Notamacropus eugenii: one gene and its partner. The protein of the gene in region 2 purifies or fractionates together with the protein of the main gene of each other region. This does not show direct contact. Links are inferred from orthologs where the notes say so. Each region holds a gene or a part of one and is shown on either strand. Other genes may lie near its edges.

The links.
Region 1: the proteins of SLC34A2 (region 2) and ENDOD1 purify together in Homo sapiens (co-immunoprecipitation; 3 studies listed by BioGRID and IntAct, counting the BioPlex papers as one, with this or other methods). This does not show direct contact. The link is inferred for Notamacropus eugenii from reciprocal best matches to the Homo sapiens genes SLC34A2 and ENDOD1.

The regions. Positions count from the first base shown.
Region 1 is NC_092876.1:163,260,744-163,277,622, forward strand, and holds the start of ENDOD1 (endonuclease domain-containing 1 protein), read right to left. Parts: upstream 7,966-16,879; 5' UTR 7,741-7,965; coding exon 7,444-7,740; intron 1-7,443. UniProt on the Homo sapiens protein: May act as a DNase and a RNase. Plays a role in the modulation of innate immune signaling through the cGAS-STING pathway by interacting with RNF26.
Region 2 is NC_092877.1:78,360,865-78,377,876, reverse strand, and holds the start of SLC34A2 (sodium-dependent phosphate transport protein 2B), read right to left. Parts: upstream 7,931-17,012; 5' UTR 7,843-7,930; intron 3,401-7,842; 5' UTR 3,344-3,400; intron 1-3,343. UniProt on the Homo sapiens protein: Involved in actively transporting phosphate into cells via Na(+) cotransport.

The DNA of each region.
Region 1 (16,879 bases), on a different chromosome or scaffold from region 2:
GAATAGTACTTGGAACGTGATTATTTGTATTCATATAGAATTTCTTTAAATAAGAACTCTCCTCAACCGTTACTTTGGTTACAGATCATTAACTACTTGGCAAAAAGTCTGAGGAGCTTGGACAGGGCGAGGGGGAAGGGGTGAGGTTGGAGTATCTGGAGTCTATACTAATTGGAAAGCAGAAATTGTAAACTCTTTGTGTCTGATTTCATTTTTATAAACTCAGTGTTGTACTTGAATTGAAATACAAACATCTCTAAAATTATAACATAAATCAGCAAAAAATTGTTTGATTTATTTTAAAAAAACCAAAACACTGATATGCCTTTGACATGTCAATAACACATTTATGATATAAAGCAAGGTAAACATGTATTTGACTAAATTTTTTTCTTAGCTTCAGTGTGACTTCTTTTGGACACAGAATACCTGAATTATATTAAAATGCATAACTAGAATGAGGTAATTGGCTTCTTTTTTATTCTGGGCTCTCCTAATAATCCTCTGGAGTTAATTTCTCTATTCTTCTCCTTTTCTCAACAGCCAAATGTATATGCACAGCAGGAGATAAATTATTACTGAGAGACCTGTCACATTTTATGGTCCTAGAGGTCCTAGGGGAAAACTTATAGAAAAATGCTATGAATCATAAAGAAAAAATAGAACTTAGCAATGTTGTTCCAAATCTTTTTTGGTCAACAGCAATCCTAAAAGCTGGATTAGAAAATATAAACTTCTAAAAGCATATATAAACTTCTGGCAATTGGGAATAAGAGAAGTATTTTTTTCTTCATCTTTTTCTTTTTAGAGTTAATATTTCAAAAAAAAGAAATGCAATTTGAATTAAAAAAACAAAATTATATTTGTTATATTTCTAGGAAATATTTATCTGTCCATGCAGCTAGAATTAAATCAGGATGAATGATAGATTGGGTTAATGCAAGCCTCAAGCTGAGGTTTTGGGGTTTTTGGGGGTTTTTTTTTTGGCCGCATCTACAACATACTAAACCATGCAGTCAATACAGTGAACTTGGCAGATGCTTCATTCAGTCCATGTGGAAGTGGCATATGCCAAAGACAAGATGTGTAAATTCTGATTATCTGGAGTTGGACCTTATTATGTAGATGGAAGCTGGAAGAGATTTCATCATCAGACTGGCTTAGATAATGATAGGATAAACTACTTTCTAGTATTTTGCAAGGATCTTTAAATTATTCCTAAAGTTGAGATTTAAATCACCCTGAAACAGTAAGATGTAAAGGAAAAATAATCATTAAATGCAGCATAGAGAGCTCAGAAAAATCCTCAGAAAAAGAATTTGTTTCCCAACTATATGTATCATAGTAGGAAAGAAGACCTGAAGGATTTACTTTGGACAAAACCCCACTTAGCTTTCTAGTTTTACCCAGGACACAACACAATGGATTGGAATGTCATTGCTCACCATGTTTGTATAATGGAATCATTCCCTTTTCAGCAATTGGCTTCTTGATTGTTCAGTAGAGAGAGATAGGGCAAATAGAGCTCACATTTTCCATCAACTAACTCATGCCTTCATTCCCTAACTATCTACCATGTACCTCTTCTGTTCAAGGCTCTGTGCCGGGTATTCTAAGAGATCATGGGATCAGTCTGAATCCCTCATTTTGCAAATGAGGAAACTACACACTGATGGCAGTTCAACGACATGCCTAAGATGCTATCAGAGCATCTTTGTAATGGCTGGCTGGTCAATGAGGAAGTCATTTTTGGTGACATGCTCTTCAACCCTGCTGAAAAGCTTCCTTTTGTCTTCCTTCTTAACAGCTAGCTGATCTTCATATGCTACTTTATGGTTTAGGAAGCCCTTTACAGACATTATCTCATTGGATTTTCTCAACAAAATAGGGGTAAATTATAGTTTAGTAGTAATACTGTTCACTGGAGTCTCAACAAAAGCAACATTATCTTTATATTTTTAAACAGCTTATAACCATCACCTGTCTTCTTCTCCAACCCCCAGTGGCTATTACAAGTAGAAGTGGGGGAAGTTGTGGGCGTCTTCTGTCCTACTTCCAGTAGTCCAGAGACTAGAAAAAAAATTGAATCCTAGCAATGGGAAAGTGATGTCAGAATACTAGATGCTAGTTCCTTGTGTTTCAGATCCATCATGGAAGACTATCTGCATACACTTGTCTTCTCCAGCATGCTCCTAAGTCGCATATTTTACAGGGTTTTTGGTATATATATGTATATATGTATTCATATACACATATATATGTGCATACATATATACATACATACATACATATATATATTTTCTCAGTTTCCATGGTGAAAGTTATAGAGTCAAAGGTCTACAACTGGAAGATACCTCAAAGATCATCTAGTCAAACCTTCTGAATTTTTAGAGGAAGGAACTGAGACTTTAAAGGGTTAAGTGACCTTCCCAAGGCCACAGGTTGTGTCAAGAGGAATCAAGTCTTCAGTTAAGCCAAGGTTTGTATTTGCTCCATCAAATAACACTACTTTCCTCATAGCAAGTTTTCTATTTTCCTATGCCTCCAGAAGGTGCACCCTCTCCCTTTCCCCCTTCCCCCCTCCCAGATTTTCCTTTGGTTCAGTCAATGTAATTGAAAAGATCTAGCTCATTCAAAGATGTATTCCCAGGGTTCTCTCTCTGGGAACCTGAGATCCACAGCTCTGTCACTGACTCACTCAATAACCTTAGGCAAGGGCGAAGCTTCCCTTTTGTCTTTGTTCCTCCCCTGGATGATGAGGGCCTAATAATAATGCTGACCTCATAAAAGTGTGTCCTAGGTTGAAGTGATTCACAGTCATGAATTATTTTATGCCAAACAAAATGTGAACCTCAGAGCTAAGTATCTCTCTGTAATGGAGCTTGATATTAAAGTCCTACCTAAAATATCACCATCTCTAAGAAGTCTTTCCCAATCCCCCTTAATGCCAGAGGCTTCCCTCTGTGATTACATCTAGTTTATCCAGCATATATCTTGTTTGTACATGATTGTTTTTATATTGTCCCCCTTCTTTGCACCCTCAGTGCTTAGCAAAGGGCCTGGCACATAGTGGGTACTTAATAAATACTAATTGACAAATTGACCTTAGTGGGCATAAGACATAGGGAGCTGTTATGTGTTCTTCAACTCTGTTGAAAATCATATTGCTTTTGTCCTCCTTCATCATAGCTAGCTGATCTTTGTATCCTACTTTATGGTTAAAAAAGTCCTTTATGGATATTACATCATTTGATTTGCTCAACACTCTTGTGAGGCAAGAGGTTTGTGTCATCCCTTTTTCCAGGTAAGTAGACTGAGGCATAGAGCAGTTTAAGTGAATTGTAAAAGTCAGACCACTGTCCAGTGGTAAAACTCAGGTTCAAACCAAGGTCTTCTGATTTAAAACTCAGTGTTCTTCCCATACCATACTACAGTTGTTCCTCAGAACTCATAAGTGGCTTCCTATTGTGGCTAAGATAAAATGCCAACTCTGTGGCACATTTAAAGCTTTTCATAATTTGGCTCCAGCTGACCTTGCCAGACAGATTATGACACAGTCCTCCCTCTTACACACCTTCTAACCAAACTGGCCCTTCTGATGTTTTTTATACGCTGCATTCTGTTTCCTGATGTGCTTTTGCCAGTGCTGTCCCCTGATTGTTGTCCCTCCTCAGCTCTGCCTCCTACAGCAGAATTCCTAGCTTCCTTCAAAGCTGCCATCTACCATCAACTAAGCAATCAATTATTTTTTTAAAAAGTTATTAAATGTTTACTATGTTCCAGGAACTATGTTAAGCATTGAGGATACAAAATAAAAAAAAAAAAGCAAAAACTATTTCTGCCATCAAGAAGCATCCAAGGGAAAAGCAACATTGCAAAAAGCTAGGAACCTAGAAAAGATATAGAAGGCAATCATCTCAGAGAGGAAGGCAAGTGGGAAAGGTTTCCTGGAGAAAGTAGGATTTGATCTGAGATTTGAAGGAAGCCAGGGAAATTAAACAGCAAAGGTGAAGGTCGATAGGATTCTAGTCATGGGAGGACATCAATTGCAAAGGCAAAGAGATAAAAGACATTGTGTGTAAGGATGGGATCCCTTCCATAGTTAATGTTCTTCACCTCCCCTCTCCCCACAAATTATGTTTTATTTACCTTACACGTACTGTGTATTTACTTCTACGAGTATATGTAGCATCCCCCCTCCCTCCCTCCAGTAGAATATAAACTCCTAGAGGGCAGATCATGTCTTGGATTTTTTGACTTTTATATCCCCGATTCCTATCACAGTGCCTGACACATATTAAACCCTTTAACAAATGCTTCTTGACTGATGAATGAATGAAAGAATGGCTGCATTCAGAAGTCTGGCTCTTAGTTAAGTTGTCCACAGAAATGGTTCTTGGTACAGCATATATGGCTTGCAGGCAGATGCAATGCCCTTAGCCAGTGCAGGTATGAGGCACCATATAAGACATAAAGTGTTCTGACCTAATTAGATACTTGGATCAGACACAATGCTGACTGAGGCAGGGCTTGGGTATCTCTGCTCAAGTAGCCAAATTCTCATCATGCTCTACAGTACTCCAACAAGTATATCACAAAAAGTTAACTTCTAATTTCTAGAAAGCACAGAAGGAATCAAGAGCTAAGAAATTATCTAGTCCTTTAAAGTAAAGGCAACTTCAACTATCTGAAGGACTCTTCATCTCTAGCACAGTGCCTGGAACGTAGTAGCTGCTTTAAAAAACTTGTTCAGTCAGCTTCACTAAACATTTATTGGGCATCTACTATGTGCTGAGCTACAAGTTGAAGATACAAAAAAAGATAAAAGACAGTCCCTGCTTTCAAGAACCTTCCAGGCTAAAGGGGGAGACGACATGTAAATAAATCCCGACTATTAAGTGAAGGGGAATTAGACTTACGTGCTTGATCTCCAAAGGCAGAACTAGGATCAGTAACAGAAATTGAGGGGAGAAAGATTTTGGCTCAGTATATCAGCTAACCACCTAACAACTGGAGCTGTCCAAAAACAGAATGGCCTATCCCAAGCAGCAGCAAGTTCCTTCTCAATAGAGATGCTCCAGCAGAAGCTGGATGCATGTTACGTTACATGGATGCATGCAACTTGCCAGATGTTACAGAAGAGATTCATGTTTTAGGTAAATGTTGTTCTGCATGACCTCTAAGTTTCTTTCCAAATTTGAAATTTCTTTGATTCTATGAAATGCAGTCTCAGAGATACTAAGCAATTTGTCCAAGGTTACATAGCTTGGCACAGAGGCAAGGACACAAGCACGGAACCAGGACGTTAAACCAGGTCTCCCAATTCTTAGACCTTGTACTTTCCAATACCCGCCACTACCATGTACTTCCTTATTTAGCCTTTTGGAAATTCTCAGCCTGCCCTTGGAGTTCCTTTATCAACTTTTTCCCTCTCTCAACTATCTCATCAACCTTTCTTTTCATTATTCCCCACTACAGACTTCCTATTCTGACTAGACTGATCAGCTTACTATGTCCTGTATGTAATTTGCTTGTTCCTGATCTTATCCCTTGGCAGATGTTCTTCCCTTCACCTGGGACCACCTCCTTCCTTTGTCAGCCAATGCCTCTTGCACTCCATTCTTACTCAAAACTCACCTCCTCTAGAAAGTTTCTGAAGGCCCATTCCACTCTGATCACTTTTTTCCTCTCTGTGTTTATGAACACATCGTGTTTCCTGTGTATTCTTATTCCTTTATATCTTCCTAGTATGGGATGGTGGAGGAGAGGTGGCTTCTATGGTGATGTATTTATACAATGAGCACTTAAAAGATATTACAAGATAGCAGCTATATTTCAAGGCTTCCAAATAAACTCATTCTAAGAATGGAAAACCCAGATGCTTGTCTTGGTATTCATCTGGGTGGGGCTGGAGGGGGTACAGGCTATGGAGATCAGGAACAGGTTGGGCTAGGGTGTGTTTATTACATCAGAAGGCTTGGGAAGGATTTGGCATCAAGGTGGACAAGGGTAAGAAGGTTGGGCAAGTGGAGAGTGATGGGAAACCCTGTCTCTAGGTGAGGAGTTATTGGCTTCTGCAAGAGGGAGAGACAGTGTTTGTATGTATGTGTGTATGCATGTACATGTCAATACCACAATGCCTTAGAAGTAGTATACCAGGTTGGGGAGAAGGTATGGGACAGAAGGCTAAGTGTGGAGGGCCATTTCAATTCCTCTGGTTGGCTGACATAGCCCACTGCAGGGGGTGACTTGACAGATGAAGGCTTGATTTCTGAATCCTTGGGGTTGATACTGAAGAAATGAAGAATTGGGGACAATTATTTTGTCCTTCTTACCAAGCCAATAGGTAGAGACATTCCCTAGGCCTTTGTTATTCCTTTTTTTAAAAATCCAAAAGTTTCTTAAATTTTTTTCTCAATTTGACAATTCCTGATATTTTCCCAAATGTAGAATGGGAGATAAAAATACAATGAATAACAGGAAACACTCCTCCAAATTCCAAAATTTCTTCATTGTGAAGAAATTAATACCTCATAACGTCTCTAAGTTGAAATCATTGTGCATGTTTTTGTTTTTAAGCCTTGTGACCAAATGATCTTCCTCTTCTTTTTTTTGTAAATAGTATTTTATTTTTTCCAATTACAAATACAATCATACTTTTATCCCTTTTCCATAGTGGAGCAGAGAAAGCACTGAACCTGAGTTCAAAACCTGGCTCTATGAGATGCATGATCTGGGACAAGTTCATTAACCTTTTTGAGCCTCAGTGTCCTTGTAAAACAGGGAAAACATAATAACACTCGTATGACCTATTTCACAGGAAAACAGCTTGTAAACTGTAAAGCAAAGTATGCATGTAAGGTAGTATCACATGGGACCTATACTAGTCGAGTACCTTATAATGTTGTATGTGCATCATCATCCATATAGATAAATTTCTGTGTAGAGCAGTGGATCTTAACCTTTTTATATGTGTGTCATGGACCCTTTTGGCAGTTTGGTGAAGCTTATGGACTCTTCAGAGAAAAGTTTTAAAATTAAAAAATAAGCATAATTAAATATGTAGGATTACAAAGGAAGTCAATTATTTTGAAATACAGTTATCAGAAAAAATTAAAAGTGAGATCAAGAAGAATCTCTCAGGGAACCAAATGGTTCCTCTCTGCATTTCTGAATGTTGCAGGGACTTGGATGAAATGTTATAAAGTTTATGAGCTGAAATTCCAATTTTCTTAAGCAGAGTAAAAAGGCTTAGGGGTGAAGGGGGAGAATTTGAATTCAGGTAGGAGGAAGGCAATTTCTGGCACAGCGTTTCACCGGGCAGTGCCCATCACCCCTCATGTTATTTAGGCCCCCTCCCTCCTTATTCTGAAGCAGAAGGAATTGCCGGTCTTCTCTTGTTTGGGTCCCACTGCAGAATATCTACAAAGCTGTTTGACTCACCTGGGGTTCGATCATCCAACCCTGCTCCCTACTCTCTCCAGAGACAGCATATCGAAAAGCCGAGTAAACAGGTATCTTTTCTTGGGTGCTGTACAGGGTAGCAAAGCGCTCCTTGCCGTTGTATTTTTGACAGATTTTCACGTGGAAAGGCTCAGCCAATCCTTTAGGCGGGGTCTCTTCATAAAAGAACTTGTTACATTCAGCAAAACCGGCTTCATCCTCCCGGATAATTCTGCCCTGTATGAGCCAGGAGAAAACAAAGAGGCTGCAGAGGAGAAGGAGAGATGCTGGTCTCATGTTGGACTTCCTGAAATTCACTGTGCCCTCCTTCAGCTCTGTGGGCTGGGGGCTCTCTCTGAGAGGTCTGAGACTGGAAAGCAGCAGAGGAGCCCTGCAAGTGGATTGGAATCTGGGAATGGTTTACAAGGGAAATGAAATTCGAAACCCAGCCCTTCCCTTCTGGGAGTGGACTCTTTCTACAGGCAGGGCACTGCCAAACTGCATGGAAGCTGTAGGGTGTCATGGGCTGCAGAGACAAATCAGCAACTGGAGGCTGTACCTTTGGGTTCCCCCTCAGGAGATGGCTTTAAGGACTTGGACTGCAGCTATCCGAGTGTGTAGAGAAGGAAAGGCTTCAAGGAAGGTTGAGTCCTAGGAGATAAGGGGCGTGTGTGTGTGACGTTGATCCCAATGCTCAGGATATAAATGTCTGAATTTAGAAAATTCAGAGTATGAGGATACAAGCCTAGGTTCTGGTGCATGGCACATCTTTCCTGAGAAAGTGCTGTCCAGAGCTAACACGGATCTAAAATGTAGCGTTAACTATAGACTGCACGGTAAATGCATATGTAAAATAGTTACATAGTTGTTCTTCAGTGGAAAATTTCAGAGAAAAAAATGAAATGCAAGGAACAAGACTGATTTTTATGTGATACATAGAATTTATCTCATTATTTTACAATTAACCCACGTATGTACACCTACACCCACACCCACCCCCCCCAGACCCCCCCCTCCCCCACACACACACAACCAGGTACCTGAAACTGCCTGGAGAATGGAAGAACAATTAGCAATTTCCTAACTCTCATACTTCTATCTAAAAGATAACCATTAGTTAATTTACACTTATTTTTCTTCCTCATAAGTGTCAGTACATGAAAATCATAGACAAGGGTAAAGGTCATAGGCGTTAGTCCTCTAGTCAAAATATAAATAAATCCCCTCAAGAATAGTTTAAAGAAGTGGTGCCCTAACTTGTTTGAAAATTTGGCTTAGAAAACTCGCTCCTTTCTGAGTAACACATTCCTTTTTGAGACTGCTCTAACTACTTGGGAGTTTCTCATTTACTAAACCACAGCTTCCATCCGTTGGTCACAGTATTGAATAAATTTTGTGTTCTTTCTGTGAAATGCAAGCAATAAAATTCAAGCATACTCATGGAAATTCAAACGCAATATAATTCATCCTGGTGTTTCTCAAAAGCTGTATGGTACTCATCCTTGTAACCACATGCATTTACAAGAGTCTCTCCAATCATTCTTAGCAAGCTACAAATCCTCCCAGCAAAGAATTAGTGCCACGAGCAAGAAGTTTGAGAAAGATTTGAGTTATTCTGATAGTCTTAATGAGGTGAAAAGGTTTAGACTTAAACCAATTATTATTTGAATGCTTTGGGTACAATAAGCCATATTCAAAGCTTAACCTTCTTTCCTCTGGCGTGGTTTTTGATTTCCCACCTTTATGACAATCCATATACCTCCTCTACTTTGAAGACTCTGCTGGAAATTTGCCTCCTGTACAAAAGTCATACATATGGCTCCATATGTATGTCTCCATATTATGTTCATAGCTAAATCGTGGTAATTTAAAAACAAACAAACAACTTTTCAAAGATAAATTGTTTTAATGCCACATCACTACTCCGATTTTTTCCATTATGGATATATATGTGTGTGTGTGTGTGTGTATGTATATGTATATATATATACATATGTTCATATGTATATATAAATCAGGTGGCTAGCATATGTATATACTGGGGAATGGAAATGAAATAAGCAATAGTAACAAAACCAGATTTAATAATGACAATGCTGAATAAGGGCTAATTTATTAAGCTTTTATTCATTTTGCTATTCCTGAAATATCTTACTTGGCTTAATTTGTAGAATACTGGTGAACAAATTAGCATTTGTAAAAAATATTTAGGCAACAGATTTAAAGCATTTGAGATAATTAAGGGAGCTGAGAAGGTGGAAATTATACCATAACACAGGCTTTATTTTTCCAGGAAAGACCAAGCCCAAGAAAACCAGACTTAACCGACTGGTGGAAAGGAGGAAATGGTGTGCTGAGGTAAGAGGATTAAGTTCCTGCCAGACCTTGAGCCCTTAAAAAAAAAAATGAGTCATACTCAACTGAAATGTGGGAAGAGATATCTTTTTTTCCAGACAAACTGAACCAGAGGTCGTGGTGATGTTTAAAACTAGTCTCAGAGAATTAATTTTAGATGAGATATCTGGCAGGAAGACATTCTCTCTCTCTCTCTCTCTCTCTCTCTCTCTCTCTCTCTCTCTCTCTCTCTCTCTCTCTCTCTCTCTCTTTCTCTCTCTCTTCTTCCTTTCCTCTCCCCCCTCTCTTCCTTTTACTCCTCTTCCTCTTCTTTTGTCCTCTCCCTCTATTTAACCTGCATTCTAAGAATATATCAGATCTGAGAAACTTTCAGAAGCTATAACACATAGACAGTATTCATAATTCATTACTGAATTATATCTCCAAAATGTCTTATAAACTTGAGCAAATCATTTCACCTCTCTGAGCCTCAGTTTCCTCATTTAGAAAAATGAAGGAATTGCACTGTGACCTCTAAGTTCTCTTTCAGCTCTAACATTCTAAGCTTCTATGAAAAGAATCTAAAAGTCTTCATTAGTTCTTTGGTAAAATCTTGGAAGCCAGAGGCTAACTACAAACAAGAATAATTTTGACCAATTCAAATATCAAAAAATATTCTTCCCACCCCTTTATCTATAACCTCCTCTAGCGCAGGCATACACCTAATCTATCCAAACAGATGTCAACTTTTCTTCATTCCACTACCAAAACATACTGTCATTTCTACCTCTTCCCCCAACCACTGTAACTGGCCTAGTTCAAACCAATACTATCTTCTATTATTTCAATAAGCTTCCAATGGACCTTCTGTCTACTAGTTTCTCCCATCTCCAATCCATCTAGCACATTTGCTGCATATTTTTAGTACAAAACTCTCAGATCACATCACCTCCTCTCCTCAAAAACTTTCATTGACTCCCCATTGTCTATAAATAAAATACCAGCTCTACAGTCTAACATTCTAGGTCAGTCTCATTCTGGCTCCAAGTTACCTTTTCAGCTACTCTCCTTTATGTATATTATATTAGAGCAAAACAAACTAATGATACACCCCCATTCTCATCCTGTCCTTCCCTGTCCCCTCCCTTGTCTTTCCTCTTGTTATCCCTTTGAAAGTGGCAGAATAGATAAAAACTGGATTTGGAGTCAGGAAGATCTGAATTCAAATCTTCCTTCAGGCATTTGCTTAACTGGGTGACTCTCTTAGCCTCAGGTTCCACATTTATAAGATGAAGTGGTTGGATCTGTTGCTTTTTAAGGTCCTTTCCAGCTCTAAATCTCTGATTCTATGAATGCCCTCCCTGCTAATCACCATCTTTTTAAATTCTTTCCTTTCTTTTGAGGTTCAACTCTGGTATCATCTTCCTCATGAAGTCATCTCTTCTAATCTGGAAGTGACCTGACACTTCTTAAATTTTTGATAGCACTTTGTATGGAAATTAGGTTGACTTTTTAAAGTCTTATCTATAAAGTACGTATTTATGTACATGTCTTATCTTTATTACTAGATTATAAATTCCTTGAGAATGGGATTGTGTCTGATTTCATTTTTGTGTAAACAGCACCCAGGAAAATATATCTTAAGAAAATATGTATTAATGTTTAACTGAATACCCTTTTCTAAATATATTATTCTTCATATTGTCTGTTTTCCAAGAATTCCCCAATAGCCGCCAATGGGTCTATGGTGTTTTGCAGGTACAAAGGACTTTATTTATATACTGTCTGGTTTAAGCCTCACAACAACTGAGTTATTATCCCTCTCTTGATAGATAAGGAAACCCAGTATCAGGGATGTATATTGACTCACCCCAGGTCAAACAGCTAATATGTGACAGGTGGAACTGACTCAAAGTCCTGTGCTATTTCCAGTATAATATAATTCCCTTTATATCAGCCATTTTATCTTCTTATTCATGGATGAAGCAGTTTATTTCATGGGTGTGAATGGTATTGAAAACTGACCTACATGACATGATTGGGTGCTCTCTGGGCTTCACTCCCATTTCCACAGTCCAGGGACCTTCAAAGATGGCATCTTTCAGGGTATGCTGACAGCAGGGTTGGGAATAGCTGCAGGCAGTATAACTGCAGTGATCTTCCCACCCATCTCTGATGCTTCCCACACTTATGACTTTGGGAAAGTCATTTAATCTCCATGGGCCTCAGTTTCCTTCACTGCAAAAGTACAGTAGATGGAATATAACCTGACAGAGAAAGACATTAGTAGCTGGGAGACATGGAAAGGCCTTCTTCAGAAGATGGTGTTTGAGCGAAGTCTTGAAATGAAGCCAAGGATTCTAAGAGATGGTGAGATGATGGTGTTTCAGGCATGGAGTATAGCAAGTGAGAAGCCTTGGAGTCCAGAAATGGAAAGTCTTGTGAGGAATAGTGAGTAAGAGTACAGTTGGATCATGGTATATGTGAAGGGGAATAAAGTGTGAGATGGCCAGAAAGATAAGAAGGAGACAGGTTGTGAAGAGCTTTAAATGACAAAGGATTTTATATTTAATACTGGAAGTAATGGGGAGACACTGATGTTTATTGAGTAGGAGGTGATATGGTCAGGCTTTCACTTTAAAGAAATAATTTTGGCAGTGGTGTGGAGGATGGTTTGGCATGGACAAAGACTTGAGGCAGGGAAACCAGTTAGAAGACCTTTATAATAGTCTGATCAGGTCAGTGTCCTTTCATGAAGCTTGAGAGGGTAGTTCAAGGATACTTTCTTAAACCCAATTTCTTGTGTAAAGGAAAAGGAGATAAGAGAATGCAAATGCCCCAAGCAATGATCCCAGAATCAAGACTTCTAGCCAGAGAAGGAAGATATTCTGGGAAGCAATACCTCAAGGCATTGAGAGATTTCCCATGGAAACTCATGCCAGAAGAAAATATGTGCAATTAAAATATGTGGATTCCCAGATTTGAGAATATCAAGTTTGGAAGCTTCTAAAAGAGAGAGAAGATTTCTTTATCTAACACTGTTCTAGGGAAAAGAGGATAGTTCCTATGCAGTGTCTTTCATGGAGAGCAAAGCTGGTGTAGGTTCAATGAGAGAGGTATTGTTTATTCAGCAACCTCCAAGGTATGTTTATCTTCTGAGGTCAAGATTAAAACATAGAGTAGTGCAACAAGTTTTGGGGGTAAAGTATCTGTAGGAAAGGGACTCACTGATGTGTCAAAGCTTTGCTCTGATAATAATCCCAAGTTCAGCTACCTTATGAGAGGAGCTAATGGGCTATTTGACTGTTTTATGTGGTTCTGTTTGCTAGCTCTTGAAAACTCTCTTGCTGGCTTCTACTTAGGGCTTCAGCTTGATTCTGAAACTTCTCCAGAAGCTTAGCATTGTTTAGGAATTCTTCCTCTGGGTTCAAAAAATTTAGTTCAGGAGTTCTTCTGCCTGTCTAGGAAATTCTCTATCACACACATCATCACTACAATTTCACTGCTACCAGCTCACATTCCTGCAGCCTCCTTCATGGACTGGTGTCTCCTTCTGCTCCACTATTGTCTCTACTCACTGCCATGGAGCTCCACCTTCTTCTGGAGTCTTGTGGTTTGATGAGGTATGTGGTCCTCTGAAAACTCATGAAACTGGGCTTTAATCCAAGAAATTGAAGTATGTCTATCTAGTTCAGCCATAGTCCAATTCTCCAGCTATGTTTGGTGGCCAGCCATCTTTTAAAAGACCAAGTCCAAGGCTAGCTCAAGCCAACCTTCATACACTTATGGCTCAATCTTTTCAAAGAATATGTGCTTTAAAGAACTAGTGAGTGAGTACTCAGGATAAGGTGAGTTAACAGGTCATCAAGGAAATATCATCAATGCCAAACAAAGGAGTAATCAAGTTAACCTTGTTTAAAAGGAATTAACATTGTCAAGGGAATCTCTCTACATGCCTGTGCAACTATTTCGGTAAATAAAGCTGAAATTCCATAAGCCGAATAATTCAGGATTGACAAAGTATGAAGCTCTTTTTCAGCCTTCTTTTGCTCCGTTAAAAGAGTTTCCTAATGTGTTTTGTTTTCACATTACAACTATTTACAGATTATTCCCATTTTATGAGGTCTCTTGAAACAAAATAAAACAGTTAAGTAAGATTAAAAATTAAGTGATCTTATCTGAAAGTGAAGGCAACATTTCACATAGCATCTCTCTGCCCTTCATATTTTTAAAATGAACAGAATTCTGTTTTCTCTTTTTCATCTTCCGCCCCATTGGAAAGAAAGAAAAGGAAAAACAAATTTTTCTTAACAAACATGCAAAGCTAATAGTCAAATAAAACTAATTCCCTCAATGGCTGTATGTGAAAATGTATTTGTTTCATTCCTCCCCCTAAATCCATGACCTTTGTCACAGATAGCCTGTTTCATCACTGGTCTTGTGGAATCCTGAATGGTCATTGCATTGATTACACCTCATTTGTTTGTTTTTATGATGTTGCTGTTATGCTATAAATTGTTCTCTTAGTTCTGCTTATTTTATTTTTCATCAGTCAATAAAATAGTTCATTTTTATAATATTGATGTTATAGTGTAATTTTTTCTTCCTGTTTTGCTCACTTCACTCTGTATCAGTTAATACAAGACTTTCCATGACTTTTTAAAATCATCTCTTTCCTCGTTCCTTACAGGAGATTACAATGTGCCACAATCTGTTCAGTCTTTCCCAATTGATGGGCATCTCCTTAGTCTCCATCACAAAAAGAGCTGCTACAAATATTTTTTGCACATAAGGACAAAAAAAGATCTTTGTTTTTACCAGATGCCTACAGATAACAACAGCATAAAGTTATTTTTCCTATATGTGCAGAATTAAAAATGGAAAATGGACTTCCTTCAGTAATCATTTCATCATGTTGTTTAAGGGCTTAAATCCATTACTATAAAAATTTGGCACTGGGAAGGAAACAAACAAGCTTTTAATAAGCACCCACTTTGTGCCAGGCACTGTGCTAAGTACTTTAAAAATATTATCCTCACAACAACTCTCAGAGGTAGGTACTATCATTATTATTCCACTCTACACTTGAGAAAACTGAAGCCAACAGAGGTTAAGTGACTTATCTCACAGTAGTATAGAAAGCTGGATTTGACCTCAGATCTTCCAGACTCCAGGTCCAATGTTCTAACCACTGAACCACCATCGCTACCTAATGTTTTTTATTGTATTCATCCTTTCTTGCCAAAGAAGACCATGCCATCAGAGAAATGATGACATGACTTGCACTTGACTTTGTTTTGAGTGAGGGAGGGCTATGCAGGTCACCAGCCTCACTTCTCCTCCAGAGCCATCTGAATCCAATGACCTGATATTCACTGGAAACCACACGACCAAAAATCCATTACATAAACATGTGTGTGAACAATGTTAGACAAATATAAGTTGCATTCCCACCTCTCACCAAAAAAAGAATTTGTTGCTCAGTTGTTCTTCTTCAGTCATATCCAACTCTTTGGGACCCCACTTGGGGATTTCTTTGAAAAGATGCTGGAGTGGTTTGCCATTTCCTTCTCCAGCTTATTTTACAGATAAAGAAACTGAGGCCAACAGGGTTAAGTGACTTTCCTGGGGTCATACTTGCTTAGTGTCTGAGGTCACATTTGGACACATTTGAAGGTCAGGTCTTCTTAATTCTAGGTTCAGAGCTCTAGCTACTGTACCACTTAGCTCTCCATTTCCCCCCGTACACCCCCCACCCAAATTAGTTTGTATAAAATCTCTTGTAGACTGTCTTATGACATTGTATTAAAGTTTTTCATCCTGCATGCCCCCCTCAACAACAGTCCCCAACAAAATAATGTGATATGACAAGAACAGGCTGGAAGATGACTGAGTAATATAATATCTGATTGATTCTTAGATTTGTGGGATAAAAGGCTTATAGTTCTTCTACTAAAAAAATGACAATGCTAGTATTAGAAGAATCTAGATGACTCCTGATCTCTGAAGTTAGAAAAATGACTGAATCATGAAAATTAGTTACTTCAGGTGGAAAGACCACACAGGTTCAAATCCTTACTGTGATTGCAAAAAAGTCCTTTGAAGCAATACTCATTAGGTTTCATCATAAGGATACATAAAGATGAAAAAATTCAGAAGCTTTGAGAGGACTGTCAGAGACAAGTTCTCTCTCCCCTCCTGTTCTCCCCCCCCCCTTCCCTGTCTCCTCCCCTTCCCCTCTCTTCCTCTCTCTCTCTTCCCCCTTTTCCCTTCCTGCCCTTTCTCTTTCCCCTCTGCCCACCTCTTTCTCCTCCCTGTGGTGAGTAAAATTGTAGCATAGGCAAGCTGAGATACAGTTTTCTCCAGGGCAAGATAACAATTTTTTAACAGTGACAGGTAAACTCTTAGTAATATAGCTCACACTGGCCCATCTCAACCAAAAAAAACAAGTATCTAAGTATGATCAATTTATAAATTAGGTTAGCATTAACCAATACATTATGTCAATAGCCTTTCTCAATGACCAAAGACCCTGAGTAAGAGTCAATAGGGTCCTTTAAATTTAGGTGTGTCTCCCTTCTGGTTGACTTGACAGTACATCATATGGACTGCCACTGGCAAAGATAAGACAATCTCACTTGGTAGACATTTTAATAAGGAGGTGAGTTAAGAGTTACCTCAGCTCCTCTCTACTACTTCCTCTTGGGAAAGGAGTAATTTTTAGGTGATAAGATTAATCAGATAGATAGATAGATAGATAGATAGATAGATAGATAGATAGATAGATAGATAGATAGATAGACAGATAGATAGACAGACAGACAGACAGACAGACAGACAGACAGACAGACAGACAGATAGATAGATAGATAGATAGATAGATAGATAGACAGATAAAGATGACATTTAGTTGTTTCAGTCATGTCTGACTGTTCATGACCCTATTTGGGGTTTTCTCGGCAAAGATACTGGAGTGGTTTGCCATTTCCTTCTCCAGCTCATTTTACAGGTGAGGAAACTGGGGCAAACAGGGTAAAGTGACTTTCCCAGGGTCAAAGAGCTAGAAAGTGTTGAAGGCCAGATTTGAACTCTGTTATTCCTG
Region 2 (17,012 bases):
TTTAAAGATACTGAGGTTCTTAAGACTTGGTTCAGTGTTGAGATCACTCTGTCACTGCCTGGGTACAAAACAACCTGAGTACAAGCCTGAGTACCAGACTTAAACATAAGGAGTTTAAATCTCCCTCTCTAATGCTTGGCTGGTTGAAAATGCTGGACCACGCAGTCAAGGGAGCTTTGCTCATTAGAATCAGTTCAGGGTGTCCTCCTGGGTGTTCTCCAGGTATCCCTAAGTCCATCTCCTTTTGTCAACTGACAGTGGTCTACAACATCTTCTTTGTTCCAATAGCAAACCTAGACTACCAAGTCCAAGTCCAAGTCAAGTCCACCACAGAACATCATCCAAGAAGCCCTCTTGGCATTCTGACTGAAAGTGGCAGAGCACTCTCCATTGCCAGAAGCTTTTCTATGGCGGACTGTGACTTTTCTATGGCACTACTCAGGGTGTAGCCTACTTGAAGCAAAGGCCTATCTATGAAAAGGAGGTATTACCAAACGGGTATATTTTCCAGTACCAGGTCGCTAGGTGGCATAGTAGAACGAGCGCTGGACTTGGAATAAGAAAGACTCATCTCTACGAGTTCAAATCCGGCCTCAGACACTTATTAGCTGTGTGACTTTGGGCAAGTCATTTAACCCTGTTGGCATCAGTTTCTTCATCAGTAAAATGAGAAGGAAATGGCAAATCACTCCAGTATCTTGCCAAGAAACCCACAAATGGGGTCACAGAGTCAAACACAACTGAAAAATAACTGAACTGAGTATTTGCTCATAGCTATTCACTTTACTCTCAAATCAATGAGATCATGGAATATTCACTTCACAAAAACTTTATCCAAGGCTCTTTTCTATCCCAGCTGTACCACGTATTTGACTCTGGGCAAGTATATCTGTCTCAGCTTTCTCTTCTATGAGATAGAGGCATTGGACTAGATGACCTATAAAGAATCATTGTAAATTCATTGATCTTAAAAGGGTTATTCTAACATTCACCCATCTATCCAGCTATACGTTTAGATATGGATATAGATTTACATAATTTAGATTACTCCAGGCATAATTATACCAGATGACAGGACAAGAAGAGGCAAAGCACAATCTACCACTAACTGTGAAGCCACAATTAAAAAAGGATTCATTAAAAAGGTACTCAAACAATCTGAGCTTACCCTAGCTATCCAAACTCATCTGCCTCTCCTCACTGGCTGGAAGCATCTTTCTGCAGGAAAGATGACCTGAACTTGACATTTTGCTACTGGTATCCCATAGGACTTCAGTCACATTCACCTTTCCATGCCTCACCTACCAAATTTTTAAAATAAGGAGTTTGGATCAGATAGCCTTCCAGGTCTAATTCTATAATCTTCTTCCCAATCTGAACATAATTTCAGCTTGACCAGTCTCCTTACTGTCCTCCAATGATCCTTTCCACTCATCCAGACCCCTCAGCATCCTTCTCAGCACAGCTCAAATCCTGCCTCCTCCATGTAGTTCTGAAGGCCACTCCAGTTGACAATGACCTCTCCTTCTTCTGAAACCCTTCAACGATGATCCTCACCACTCATTTTGACATTTAATCACAAACTGTCTTTGCTCTGTCATTTGTTTAATAAGGTTACCTTATCTCCCCAACTAGATTAGTTAATTCCTTTCAGGTGAGGACTACCCTTCTCCCTCTTTGATTAGACCCCTTAGAATCTAACGCAGCTGCTCAGCACCTACTCCAATTGAATAGCTGAATTTAACTCCTCATTTATAGTCTGTTGGATGTCTAACTTGATTACTTCAAAAAGAGTTCAGGAAGCAACTATAATACTGCCCTATGTGCCCCCAGGTTACCCAGCATGCACTAGGTTCAGGTAAGAACTAGAAATTCTCGTCTTCAGACAGATTGGCAGAAGCTAAAGGAAAAAAAATAATTCTCCATGGTTTTTCTGGTTTCATCCCTGGAAGGGATTTTTTTCTCCCATTTAAGAGAACATTAATCTTTCTAGGAAGCTCCTGTATCAGATGAAACCTGCTGTTAACAAAGCCTCTACTGTTTCAAACATCTTAATGAACATTGGATCAGCAAGAGAGAAAATTACTTCTGCTTTTCCCATATTATATGACCTGCTGATAGTAAGAACATAAATGTTGTTGATTGACTGCCTGATGGACCATGCAAATTGCTGAGGCGACAAATTTAATCAGAAAGGCTTTCAAAGGAAACTTCCTCCTTAATTCCTGGACCCACTAAAAATAAAGTTCAGACAGTTTCTCTCTGCCCCCCTCCCAAAAAAAATTAACAAATTTAGCAGAAGAAATTTAAGTCAAGTTAGTAAAAATCAGAAACATCTAACTCTTCTTGCAAATGCCACTTGGAAGTTTTAATAATATTTAAACCCTCCCATGGCAAAAGGGTGCTGTTGGGAGTGATGAATATTTGCAAAGATCTCTGAATTCCTTCAATGAAAGGAATTTCATGTGCGTCTGTGAAAGCAGACATATTTGGAGGAAGGGAACACTGATCCACTAGGAGTACAAAAACCTGGGCTCCACTTCCAGTTCTAACACTTCTTCCTTGATTGTTCTAATTTACCTTTCTGGGACCAAGGAGGACAATATTAATGAGCTACATTACAGGGTTGCTTTATGGGCAATCTTATAACTATTACAGCATTTGAGAAGCATAAAGTTCTATACTAATGAATGATGATGACGTCCATTGGGTTATGTCCTGGTGTCCTGGGAAATCACTTATAGCCCAACACAATCAACTACAACGTTCTCGTCTACAAACCAGAAAGAATAATAGTTACATTATCTATTAATCATGAGAATCAGTTTAAAAGGCTATGGGAAAAGATGTCATCAGCTATAAAATATCATGTGAACATAGTCATCACTATCATTGGCATTAGAAGATAGTACCATAATACTACTTTTATATTTATCCATTATTACATTTTATATAAATATTTCATATTTATATTGCGCTATTTATATAGTTATATCATATAAATATATTTCTGTTGTATATTACATGTATACTTGTTATATAAATATATCTAATAGGTTTATATTATAGATATATTTAAATATTTCATATTTATATACTTTTATTTTCTACATTAAACTATCATTATACATGATACTATTATTATATAGCATCCCTATGAGTAGTGGAATTTCTGTGTTTTTTAGCTCAAGCTCAGACAATAAACATTTATTGATATATCCTATTATGTGCCAGGCAACCACTCAGCTGTGTCAATTGTCCAAAGCACGTAGTCTCCCTGGTAGATAAAGGTCATGGAATACCTGTTTTCTTCCTCTTTTCTTTTCCTTTTTGTTCTTCTTACCTGTGAAGAATTCCTGGTACGGAAATTTCCTCCCTCCCGGGACACAGGCAGCATCCTCTGTAATTTATAGTGTTAGAGGTTAAATGAGTAGCCTCTGGTCACAAAGGCAGTATGCCGCCATGAAATAACTTGAACTTCTATCTTCCTGATGCCAAATCTAGCCTATCTACTAAACCAAGCTGTCATTTATCCATTTTCATTTTCATTTATCCATTTAATGTCTTGCCCCTTGGAAACAGAAATGACTTTCATCTGAATAAAAGAGGCATGTACAGAAGAAAATCACAGAGGAAAAGAGACTGGCCTGGAGCACAGGTTTCTACCTGACATCTTCCTCCATAGGCAGTGCAGCTCCACGTATGCAGAAGCCAGCATCTCTTAATTCCTGAATTTGGGGCACAGTTCACTTTCAAGATCCAGAGCAGACAGAATAACTTCTCTGATACAAAGCTACCTATTGGAGCAATAAACTTAATTGATTGCAAATGATCTGAAGGGGAACCTTGACTAGCAATTATAGTCATAGGAGTTTGCTGGCAATACTAGTAAATGCAATCAGCTTTATCCATAAGATAGAAACTGAGTAATATCTACAGATATCTGGAGAGCATGTTTTTTATTATTTTTCAGTGTCTATGGAAAAAAGTTATAAATCTGATCATGTAGTGTCCAATCCACTATTCCACAAAAACTTATTATTCTTGACCCCACCCTCTCTGAACATGCACCTTTAATGAATCATTTCATTTAGTGCCATAAATATACTCCTCCATGATCTACTTGAGTTAATCAGTCATGGGTTCCTCCCTCAGGAATCACAGATTCTGAGTTGAAAGGGGCATCTAAAGCCATCCAACCTAACCTATGTCTCATCAGGGAACTGCAGAATGGGAATCATAAAATGCCAAAGTTGGAAGGACCTTAGAGATCATAGTGTCAAACTCTGTTTCTTTATAGATTTGGAAACTGTGTCTCAGCAAGGTGAAAAGTAATATCCAAGGACACAGTCCAGCAAAACATTCCAGTAATCTTTGCCAAGAACATCCCACATAGTGTTATGAGGAGTCAGACACAAGTGAAAACAACTGAACAACAACAGGGAAGCTCAAAGCCTATAACTGTTCTCAAGGACAGAAGAGAGGACCTCAAACTTGAGTGTAGTCAGGGATTCCTGGACCCTGCAGCTGTGTTGCTGTAACTCTGGCCAGAGCCTAGGAGGCTCTAACTGCTCTAACACCCACACAGACTGCCTTGGAGGTTGATCCTGAGGTATTTGAAAAACACAGGGCCTATTACTGAAACCTCCATAATATAGAGGAGTAACAAAGAAGATACCATCCATTCTATTTAGAAGCTCAAAAAATCCTGATACAAATTCATATTACAGGAAGTAAACTTGGGAAAAAGGAGTAAACAGAAGAAAACTCTGATGATAAATATTATAGAGCTAGGGATACCCAAGGCACAAACCCAGAAGAGAAAATAAACTATACATCATGTATAAGAAAAAGACAAGAAAAATGACAGATTTACCACAAGAGTTACTGGAATTCCTGGGAAAAAAATGAGGAAGAGTTAAAGAATGATATTATAATTGTCAAATGAGATAATATTTATAAAGCACTTAGTACAGTACCTGGCACATAGGAGCTACATGAATTATTATTCCCTTTCTTCCCTTCCCATTATAAATGAAATGAGAGTTCTAGAGAAAAGAACAGAAAAGAAAAATAAGCTCTAGAGTATAAGTTCTTAACCTTATTTATGTCATGGAGCCTTTTGTCAGTTTGGAAAAACCTATGGACTCAGAATATTGTTTTTAAATGCATAAAAGAAAAATGCATGGCATTAAATAGGAAACCAGTTATACTGAAATAAAATAAGATTATGTAATTGAAAAATTTTAAAACAAGATTATGTAATCATGTAAGTTAAGAACTCCACTCCAGAAGAAAGAGCTGTAAGGAGAATAAACATATTACTACAGGAGGTACTAAACATTCCTCAAGTAACAGACTCTGAAAATTAGATTAGATTAGACTGGAACAAAATTTTCAAACTGAAAAAAAAGAAGAAAATTTAAGACATCTCCTAACAAAAACTGACCATGAAAACAGGTCGAAGAGAATTAATTTAATATTCATCAGACTCCCTAAAAACTTAGTCCCTAAAAAGTCTAGATACCATATTTAAAGAACTCATGAATGAAAACTACTGAGACCTACTAGAACCAAAGGAGAAAATGAACATAAAAAAGACTCTATCAGCCATCCTTTGAAAATAACTTCAAAGTTATTTTGTATCAAGTAGTACCAAGGAGTCACAGTTTGGATGAAAGGGAGGGAAAGGTATAACAGGATGAGATATAGCTAAATACATAATTAAGAATTATAAGTGTGAATGTGAATAGGATGAACTTACAATATAGAGGAGAGCTGCACAATGTACTGGAAAGAAAAATTCACTACATATGTTTTATAAGAAACATACCTGAAGCAGAAAGTTTTAAAATAAGGGACTATAGGAAACTCTATTATGTTCAGGTGACTTCAGAAAAGCAGGAGTAGTGATCATGATTTCAGACAACAGGAAAAATAGACTTGGTTAAGAGAGATAAATAGGGAAATTACATGAGACTTAAGGCCCCATAGATGTAAATTAATATGAATACTTAATATAAATGTACCAAATGATATAGCAAGTAAATACTTAGAGGAAAAATTAGTCAATGCACAAGAAGTTATAGACAATAAAACTGAAAAAGTGGGGAATCTCAGCATATTTCTCTAAGACCTGGACAAATCTAAACAAAAAAAATAAACAAGAAAGAAGGTAGGATCTGAAGAGAATTTTAGAAAAGTTGGAGATTAAGATCTCTGGCAATTACTGAAGGGAACAAAAAGAAGTACACATAGTCTTAGCTGTGAATGACACCTTTACAAAAACTGATCATGTTCTAGGGTATAAAACCTCACAAACAAGTACAAAGACAGACAAATATTAAACACATATTTTACCAAGTACAAATGGAATAAAATTTTCAAGGACTTTTGAAGAAAGGATTAAAAATTAATTGGAAACTAAATAACTTAATACTAATGAAATGGTAGGTCAAAGAACAAATCATAGAAACAACAGAAAATTTCATCCAAGAAAATGACAATGCCAAATGACAAAATGACAAATGACAAATGACAAAAACTGGAATAATGCAATTAAAGGAGTCTTGAGAGGAAAAATTATATCTCCATTAAACACTTTTATCAATAAAGGGAGAAAAAACAGTTCAATAAAGTGAGCATACAACTGGAAAAAACCCACAAATTCTAAAATCTCAATTATCCACCAAAATAAAAATTCCAAAAATCAAAGAGTTTTCTAAATTGAAAGATAACACGCAGTCACGCACAGACATACACACACACACACACACACACACACACACACACAGAGTTAATGTAGTTGTTTTTTAAAAAATAAAATAAACAATTAACTAGCTTAGCTTTTTAAAGAGAGAAAAACCAAATTGCTAGTTTAAAAATGTAAGAAGGAGAATTCACAACAAATGAAGGGAAAAAAGTAAAATTTAGCAATCACTTTGCCTACTTATACGCCAAAAAAATTGGCGATTTAAATTGAATAGATAAATGTGTTAAACATATATAAAAGAAAAAAATATATATACATATGATATCCAAATAAACAAAATAAGAAATGTAGAATTAAAATAATCCAAGCTCAGAGAAAAAAATTAAACAAGCTATAAACTCCCAAAGGAAAAAAATCTAGGACCAGATGGATTTCCAAATGAATTCTATCAAATATTCAAAGAATAATGAACTATAATATTATATAATGTAAATTTAGGACATACTTGCAATAGGAAAAAGAGGATGTTACCAAATTCTTTCTATGGCATAATTCTGGTTTTGATACTGAAGCCAAGGAAAGACAAAACAAAGTACACTATTGACCAATATCCCTAATTGATTCAAAAATTTTAATGAAGTATTAATGAAGAGACTATAGCAGCACATCATCAAAATATTGTATGCTATAAACAAATAGGCTTTATACCAAGAATGCAATATTAAGAATTACAGTATTAAGAAAACCCTCAACGTTAACAAAACTGTCAACGTAATGAACCAAAAAACACTAAGGATCACAAAATTAATAAAAGCAGAAAAAACTTCCAATAAACCCATTTCTTTAAAAAAAAAAAAAGAAACCAACACTAAGGGAGGACGACACAGTCTTAGACCTCTGGTCCCTCCTAGACGTTCTGATGAAATTAACTAGAGACCTCCTGCTGCACCAAAATGGTCTGATGAGAGTAACCACAAGGTAATTTCACTAACAGAACAGACCTGATTTTTGGTAACACCAAGGTTAACAAGTTACAAGCCCAAGGTTAAGACATTCCCTCCCTAAATCATCTGACATTCTGTCCCTATTTCTCAATTTCCCAAACAAGGAAAGTGGCTGAACAGCCTCACCTGATAGGCTCATTCCTCTGCCTGTTTTCGGACTGTGTAAAATCTTATATGTCTGTGTGTATCTCTCTTTGTTCTGCCTAATTGCCAGCCACCTGGCAACTTCCCATCAGCTGATACTAATTAAACTTTGTCTCTCCTAAAATACACACAAAAACACACACATACACACAAGTAAATAGTACCTAAACTAAAATCAAGAGTCAGCATTATATCCAGTGAAAATAAACTAGAGCTTTTTTAAAAGTTTTAGAGATAAAACAAGGATGTCTACAACTACTCTTTGATACAGTGCTAGAAAATGCTAGCTTTTAGAAGTAATTTCACCTGCTTATATGCCAAGAGAATTGGTAATTTAAATTGAATAGATGAAATTGAGGAAATAAGCATAGACAGTGAAGAAACAAAATGCTTTTGCAAATGATATGATGGTTTACTTAAAGACTTCTTCTGAGTCGCTAAAAATTAATTGAAATGATAACTTCAGCAAAGTTTCAGGATATAAAATAAAGCTACATAAATCATTAGCATTTTTATTATTAACAAATCCAAGCAGGAAGGTATAGAAAGAGAAATTCAATTTAAAATAACTACAGAATATATAAACTATTTAGGAGCACACCTACCAAGACACATAGAGAAATTATATGATTAAAGCTACAAAATACTCTACAGAACTACAGATATGAGTGAAAAGATACTGATTACTCATGGTTACGCCATGCCACTATAATAAAAGTGACCTTACTTCATTGATTTGTTTATTCAATGTCATACAAATCAATTACCAAAGGATTACATTACAAACTAGAAAAAAATAACAAAATTCATCTGTAGGAACAAAATGTCAATATTCTCAAAGGAAATAATGAAAAGTAACTGAAGAGAGGCTTGTGATAATCAGATCTCAAACCATACTACAAAGCAGTCATTATTAAAACTATTTAGTAACGCATTAAAACTAAAAAATTTCAACCAGTGGAACAGATTAGATATACAATATACAGGAATAATACAGACAGAAAAATAGCAACTCAACAAAAACTGCTGGGAAAACTGAGAAGCAGACATAGATGTAAAAGGTCATATCATGAAGAAATTAAAAGACTAAGAAAGAAAATGTCTATATCAACAGAGAGGATAAAGGGTTTTTGACTAGATGGAAATGTCCATTGCTGTTGAAAATAAAAGAGTAATTTTGATCACTTAAATTGAAAATTACTCAAATTGAAAAGTTTTTTTGTTTTTTTTTAATTAATTTATTTAACTTTTAACATTCATTTTCACAAAATTTTGGGTTCCACATTTTCTCCCCTTTTGTCCCCTCCCCCCACCCCAAAACACCGAGCGTTCTAATTGCCCCTGTCTGCCAATCTGCCCTCCCTCCCTCCCCACCCCTTTCGTTTGGAAGGCAAGCAATTCAATATAGGCCAGATCTGTGTAGTTTTGCAAATGACTTCCATAATAATAGTGTTGTGTAAGAACTTATTATATTTCCCTCCGTCCTATCCTGTCCCCCATTATTTCTGTTCTCTCTTTTGATCCTGACCTTCCCCATGAGTGTTGACCTCAAATTGCTCCCTCCTCCCCGTGCCCTCCCTTCCATCATCCCCCCCACCCTGCTTATCCCCTTATCCTCCACTTTCCTGTATTGTAAGATAGGTTTTCATACCAAAATGACTGTGCATTTTATTCCTTCCTTTAGTGGAATGTGATGAGAGTAAACCATGTTTTTCTCTCACCTCCCCTCTTTATCCCTCCACTAATAAGTCTTTTGCTTGCCTCTTTTATGAGAGATAATTTGCCCCATTCCATTTCTCCCTTTCTCCTCCCAATATATTTCTCTCTCACTGCTTGATTTCATTTTTTTAAGATATGATCCCCTCCTCTTCAGTTCACTCTGTGCACTCTGTCTCTATGTGTCTGTGTGTGTGCGTGTGCATGTGTGTGTGTGTTATCCCACCCTGTACCCAGATGCTGAATAGTTTCAAGAGTTACAAATATTGTCTTTCCATGTAGGAATGTAAACAGTTCAACTTTTGTAAAGTCCCTTATGACTTCTCTTTGCTATTTACTTTTTCATGCTTCTCTTCATTCTTGTGTTTGAAAGTCAAATTTTCTTTTCAGCTCTGGTCTTTTCATCAAGAATGCTTGAAAGTCCTCTATTTCATTGAAAGACCAATTTTTCCCCTGAAGTATTATATTCAGTTTTGCTGGGTAGGTGATTCTTGGTTTTAGTCCTAGTTCCTTTGACTTCTGGAATATCCTATTCCACGCCCTTTGATCCCTTAATGTGGAAGCTGCTAGATCTTGTGTTATCCTGATTGTATTTCCACAATACTTGAATTGTTTCTTTCTAGCTGCTTGCAATATTTTCTCCTTGACCTGGGAACTCTGGAATTTGGCCACAATGTTCCTAGGAGTTTCTCTTTTTGGATCTCTTTCAGGCGGTGATCTGTGGATTCCTTGAATACTGATTTTTGCCCTCTGGTTCTAGAATCTCAGGGCAGTTTTCCTTGATAATTTCATGAAAGATGATGTCTAGGCTCTTTTTTTGATCCTAGCTTTCAGGTAGGCCCATAATTTTTAAATTGTCTCTCCTAGATCTATTCTCTAGGTCAGTTGTTTTTCCAATGAGATATTTCACGTTATCTTCCATTTTTTCATTCTTTTGGTTTTGTTTTGTGATTTCTTGGTTTCTCATAAAGTCATTAGCCTCCATCTGTTCCATTCTAATTTTGAAAGAACTATTTTCTTCAGTGAACCTTTGAATCTCCTTTTCCATCTGGCTAATTCTGCTTTTGAAAGCATTCTTCTCCTCATTGGCTTCTTGAACCTCTTTTGCCAATTGAGTTAGCCTATTTTTCAAGGTGTTATTTTCTTCAGCATTTTTTTGGGTCTCCTTTAGCAGGGAGCTGATCTGCTGTTCATGCTTTGACTGCATGTCTCTCATTTCTCTTCCCAGCTTTTCTTCCACCTCTCTAACTTGATTTTCTATGAGCCCTTCTATGGCCTGAGCCCATTGAGTGGGCTGGGATATAGAGGCCTTGACTTCTGTGTCTTTGCCTGATGGTAAGCATTGTTCTTCCTCATCAGAAAGGAAGGGAGGAAATGCCTGTTCCCCAAGAAAGTAACCTTCTATAGTCTTATTTCTTTTCCCTTTTCTGGGCATTTTCCCAGCCAGTGATTTGACTTCTGAATATTCTCTTCACACCCACTTCGCCTCCTGATCCTCCCAGCCAGTGCTTGGGGTTTGAGATTCAAATGCTGCTCTCCAGCCTCAGGGCTTTGGGTGGGGGCGGGGGCAGGGCTGCTATTCAGTGTGTGATTAAGTTCAGGTGCTCAGGTGGGGGCAGGGCCGCCTCTCAGCCTCAGTTCCCTCAGGGGGTTTATGCAGAGACCTTCAACAATGGATCCAGGCTCCTGCCTGCTTGGGGAGCCCTTGTCTGCTCCCGCCTCCGCTGTTGCCTCCCGAGGGGGCCTGAGTTATGGGGGCACCCCACTCCCCTCTCGACCCGCCAAAGAGACCCTCTCACCGACCCCTGTCACCTCTGGGTGGAGGGACCCATGTGGCCACTGGAGATTCCGTCCCTGAAGCCCGCTCGGATCTTTTCCTCTCAGTGCCGTGGCTGCGGCAGGGCTGTACTCAGCTTCCAGTCCTGGCGCCCAGTCCGTGGCGTGAAGGACCTTTTGAGAGAGGTTTGCAGGTCTCTCTGGAACAGAAATCTCCCTTGCTCCAATGTTCTGCGGCCTCTGGGTGCAGAATTCGCCATGAGTTACTTTTTTGTAGATGTTCTATGGGTTGTGGGTTTGGAGCGTCTTTCTACTCCGCCATCTTGGCTCTACCCCCGAAAAGTTTTTATACAATCAAAACAATGTCATTAAAATTAGAAAGGAAATGTAATGGCAGGGGTGGGGGTGGGGGTGGAATCTTTACAGCAAATTCCTTCAGTAAAGATCTGGTATTCAAGCTATATAAAGAACTATTCCAAATTTATAAGAATTAGAGCCATTCTGTAATAGAGAAATGGTCAAGGAAGTGAAAAGAAGAAATCCCAACTATTAACAACTATATGAAAAATGACCCAAATCACTAATAATTCAAGAAAAAGAAATGAAAACCTGAAGACCAATATTAATCAGATTGGCAAAGATGACAAAAAAGAAAAAATGACAGTTGTTGGAGGGAATATAGGAAAATGAGTACATTGTTATTGGAGCTGTGAATTGGTCATCTTTCTAAAGAACCATTTTGAACTACACCCAAAATGTCACTAAACTAGTTGTGAAGTCTAAATCCCAAAGAGATCAAAAAGAGAGGAAAAGAACTCAAATGTCCAAAAATATTTATAGCAGCTCTTTTTTCAGCAAAGAACTGGGGGAGGGGAGAAGGAGATGCCCATCAATTAGGAAATGGCTGAACAAATTATGGTATATAGATGGAACAGAAGAATATTATTGTACTTTTAAGAAAAGATAAAATGGGCTATTTAAGAGAAATCTGGGGAAAATAATACAAACTGAAGCAGAGTAAAGTGAATAGAACCAAGGGAACAATTTATAGTGTAAAAACAACTTTCTAAAGAAAAACAACTTTAAAAGACTTAAGGACTTTTATCAATGTGTAACATTGCATATGTAGTAACCAACCATGAAACCAGAACATGGATAATGAAGCACACCAGCCACCTCCTGATGGAGGCTGATGGACTCAAGATTCAGAAAAGAGACATACATTTCTGAGCATTGAAAATGTCTTTATTTGTATTATAATTCCAAAGGACTCATGATGGAGCATGCTCACGGCCTCCAGATAGAGAACTGATGGACTCAGAGTGCATTTTGAAGTCAATTTTTTTTCTTTTTCCTTTTTTTTTTGCCTTTTTTAACAGCTAATGAGAAAATTTGTTTGCATAACTATACATATTTGTAATAAGTTTTGTTTCTTTTCGTCTCAATGAATTGAGAAGAGAATTTGGAATCGAAAATAAAATAAAATTGAATTTTAAAAAATGAAATCACCAGAGTCAAAGGTTGTGGGTTCAAAGGCCATTTCTCCTACTATGTAAACTTAAACAAGTTGCTTAACCTCCTTAGGTCTCGATTTCATCATCTGAAAATTGAGGAAGTTGGGCTTAATGACTTTCAGAGGCTCTTTCAGCTCTAAAGCCTATAATCCTAAAAGTGAGACTATGGATGTAGATACAACATTGCACACTGTCAGATGTAGTCATATTGATTGGTTTGGCAGAAATATTTTTTAAAAAAAATTTTTGTTACTTGGGAAGGCTTATTGGATAGGGAAAGGGATATATTTAGAAATAAATGTGATTTTTAAAAAGAATGTGGTTTTTGTTTTGCTTGACTATGCTTACTTGTCAGGAGGATTGTGTTTTTTTTTCCATGGGGGAATTTTAGGAGGGCAAAAGGGAGATAGTGATAGGAAAAAAAGAAGGAAGGAAGAAACAAAGGAAGGAAGGAAGGAAGGAAGGAAGGAAGGAAGGAAGGAAGGAAGGAAGGAAGGGAGGGAGGGAGGGAGGGAGGGAGGAAAGAAATTTAAAATGCACAGAAGAGAATGGAAAGCACGGCAGTTTTAAAAGTAATATGTTGAATTTATTATATACATTTTTCTAAAAAAACCTATATGTAACATATATTTGAAGATTCACATATAATCCTCTTTTCCTTTATAACTTCTAAGTGGAAATGTTCATCTTTTTGGAGTTTATCAAATTCAGAATAAAAATACAATAAAATTTAGACATCTTCTATGAAGTGATACAAACAGGAAAGCAGACTGAAAGAAACTATACACATGAAGACTATGATAATATAAATCACGTATAATAATGTAAAATAGTAATGTAAAAGTCAGCTCTAATTAATTGAAATAAATAATATTGGTTCCAGACAATATAGGATGAAACATTTATCCTGTCAGGCAGATGGGGAACTATGGGTCATAACATGACATATCCACTGCTTACTTTTCCATTTAATTTGCTTAATTTTTTCTCTATTCTAAGGGGGGGGGGTCAGTAGAATAGGGGGACAATATGTCAGAAAATGGCTGTGATAGTTAAAAAGTTCTCCATGGAAAATAGAAAAAAAAAAGTCAACTTCTCAGAGGGCTATTACCTCAAATCATAAATATTTATTGAGCAAAGATTATGTGTCTAGCCCTGTTTTTGAAATCCTGGAATACAAGAAAGTAAGAGGTGTGGTCATTGCCCATGAGGAATTTACAGTGTTTCAGGGAGCTAGACACACCTGAAATGATTAAGAAACAAAGACAGTATTATATATCAGCAAAATCTACAAACAAGGTAAAGAGCTAATTGGCTGCTATTATTAGAGACAGACTGTCTGTGATGAAGCACTTCACTGAATGGTAAATGTCTTAAGTCTAAAAGGCAGAAAAGGAAGAGATTTCTCTGGGCTGGGATAGGCCACGGAAGCTAAATAGAATTGTAGAGGTAGAGGGCCAGGATTGGAGTCAGGAAGACTCCTCTTCCAGAGTTTAAAACTAATCTCAGACACTTACTAGCTATGTCACTTACTAGCTATGTAATCCTGGACGAATCACCTAAAGATGTTTGCCTCAGTTATCTCATCTGTAAAATGAGCTGGAGAAGGAAATGGCAAACCAATGGTTTGTCCAAGAAAACCCCAAATAAGGTCACAGAGAATTGAACACATCTTCCCCACCTGTCTGATAGGATACATGTTTGTCCTGCCAATGGACTTCAGTGACTCAGGAAGAGAGAGTGAGATGGAGTCAGACACAACAGAGTCTGAGAAAATACTCAGCAACAGTTGGGTTTTGAAGGATGTGCTTTCACCTGGCATAGTAAACCAGAACCACGGAGAATTTCGATCATCATGGGTCCCAGGGCTGGGAAAAGTCCTTCCATCCCTATAGGGAAACACAAGGCAGTAGGAGCGAGCCTGGCTTCCAAACAAAAAAGTTGTTTGAGTTTGTTTGGTTTTTTTTCCTGACAACTAGAGAAAATGTCCCTTTGATCTTTTCCTCTTCCCACTAAAGGCATTCAGAAAGCTCTCTCCCTCACAAGAGCTGATAGCCTTTCCAATGCCTTTAACCAATCATTCACTGTCTAGTCACTTATGGCAGAACCAAATAAGGAACTCCAATCAGGGCAGAGAGGGATCACCACTGTGGGAACCATTTCTATTTGTTTCTTTGGGCAAGGAACTCACAATAAGACAACAGCCTTTTGAGGGTTTTCAATCAACAGCAAACCAACGTCCAAACCCCTCCAGGGAAAGAAGACATAGTGGGAATTGGACAAGGAGTCAAAAGACTTGGTTTGAACCTTAACCTTTACTAGCTCTGATACCTTAGACAAGTCATAATTTCTCTGAATCTCTGTTTCATTATCTGTAAAATGGGAATCCTAATAAAAGCCACTACAGGAAGTCTTCCTCAGTCCTTCAGTTCCAGTGCCTTCCCTCTGTTAATTGTTTCCTATTTATCCAGAATATAGCTTGCTTTGCATGTTTTTTGCATGTTTTTCCCCATTAGAATGTAAGCTCTTTGAGGATAGGAACTATCTTTTGATTCTTTTTGTGTTCTTAGCACTTAGCACAGTGCCCGGAGTAGTAAGTGCTAAATAAATGTTTAACCAATCAATAAACATTATTGATTGATTGAACTATGTGGTACCTCTGTAGTTTGACCTCAGTGCAAGAAATTTAGAGAGCACAAACTTTTAATGCTTCAATCCAAATGAGTTGAATTAAACATTAAAAATCCAATACTTCAGCAGAGAAGAGTTGAAGGGAGTAGGGGATCAGACTTTAATCCCTCTCAGAGGGTATTAAAGAGAAGAGGAGGTTCAGGTTTTGCAGCATTTGCTCTCTTTCCTTTTTTCTCTGTCTTTTTGTAGCTGTTGTTTGCCCTTCATTTTCCAAAAGGATCAGTGGCATCATGGGTAATTTCTTGACTTGCCTGTGAATTGGATCGAAGTGAGGCAGAGTTGTGGCAAAGTCATCCATCTCACTCTCTCTTCCTGAGTCATTGAAGTCCAGTAGCAGCACAAAAGTCAAAAAGATTGTCGATGACCTGGGATGCAGTGGATCACCTTGGTGTCTTCAATGACTCCATAGTACCTGCTTCAGCCACCTTCATAGATGGTAGAACAAATTGTTCTCATCTACCCATTCCCCTGGGAAAAGTCTTCATGTGCTCTGTGTACATTGTCTCATTGGCTTTGTATTCTCCCAATCCACAAAAAAAAAGAAAAAGAAAAAAGAAAAAGAATAAAGAAAAAAGAACTCAATCAAGTCTACCCACTCAGGTGCTATAGAATTTTCTCAGTAACAACACCAAAAGACAGTGATCTAACCTCTCCCTAAATTTTGTTTATTCAATTCAGCAAATATGTATTAAGGTCCTACTACTGTGTGCCAATGGCAATGCTAAAATTGGGGATGCAAAGACAAATAAGCATTCTCTACCCTCAAAGGGCTTACATTCTGGAGGAGCAGGAGAGGGGAGAGGAGTGACCCTTAAACTGAACCTTGAAAGAAATTAGGATGTTCAAGAGGCAGAGGTGTGGGACTGGGAGAAAGCCTGTGCAGAGGCACAGTGTGGGGAACCCTGTACTTTAGAAACATCACTTTGGCAACTTTATGGAGGATGGATTGGAGTTGGGAAAGACTTGAGGAAGGGAAACCATCCAGCAGGTTATTGCTATAGCCCAGGAGGAAACAAAGTTTAGAACTAGGATTGGTTGTAGTGTAGATGGAGAAAGTTGAAAGATGATGATGTAATGCTTATCATACTATGAAGCAACCTACTGATTATTGCCTAGTCCTGTTATACAAAGCTCTTAATTACAGAGAATCAAAATTTCCTTTTTTTTGGAACTTCTACCTATTTGTGTGTGAATATATATGTGTATCTATCTATCTATATAGATAGATAGATAGATACATACACACACACACACACACACACACACACACATATATATATATATATTCTACCAAAGTCATGTTATAATATTAGACACTTGAAAATAGTAGCACTTCTTTTCAGTCTACTCTTCTCCAATGTCCTCAATTCTTTCAACTGTTCCTAGAAAGACAACCTCTAAAGAATATCTTACAGGGGTTTGAGGACCCATTCCTATGCTGATTACTCTCTTTTA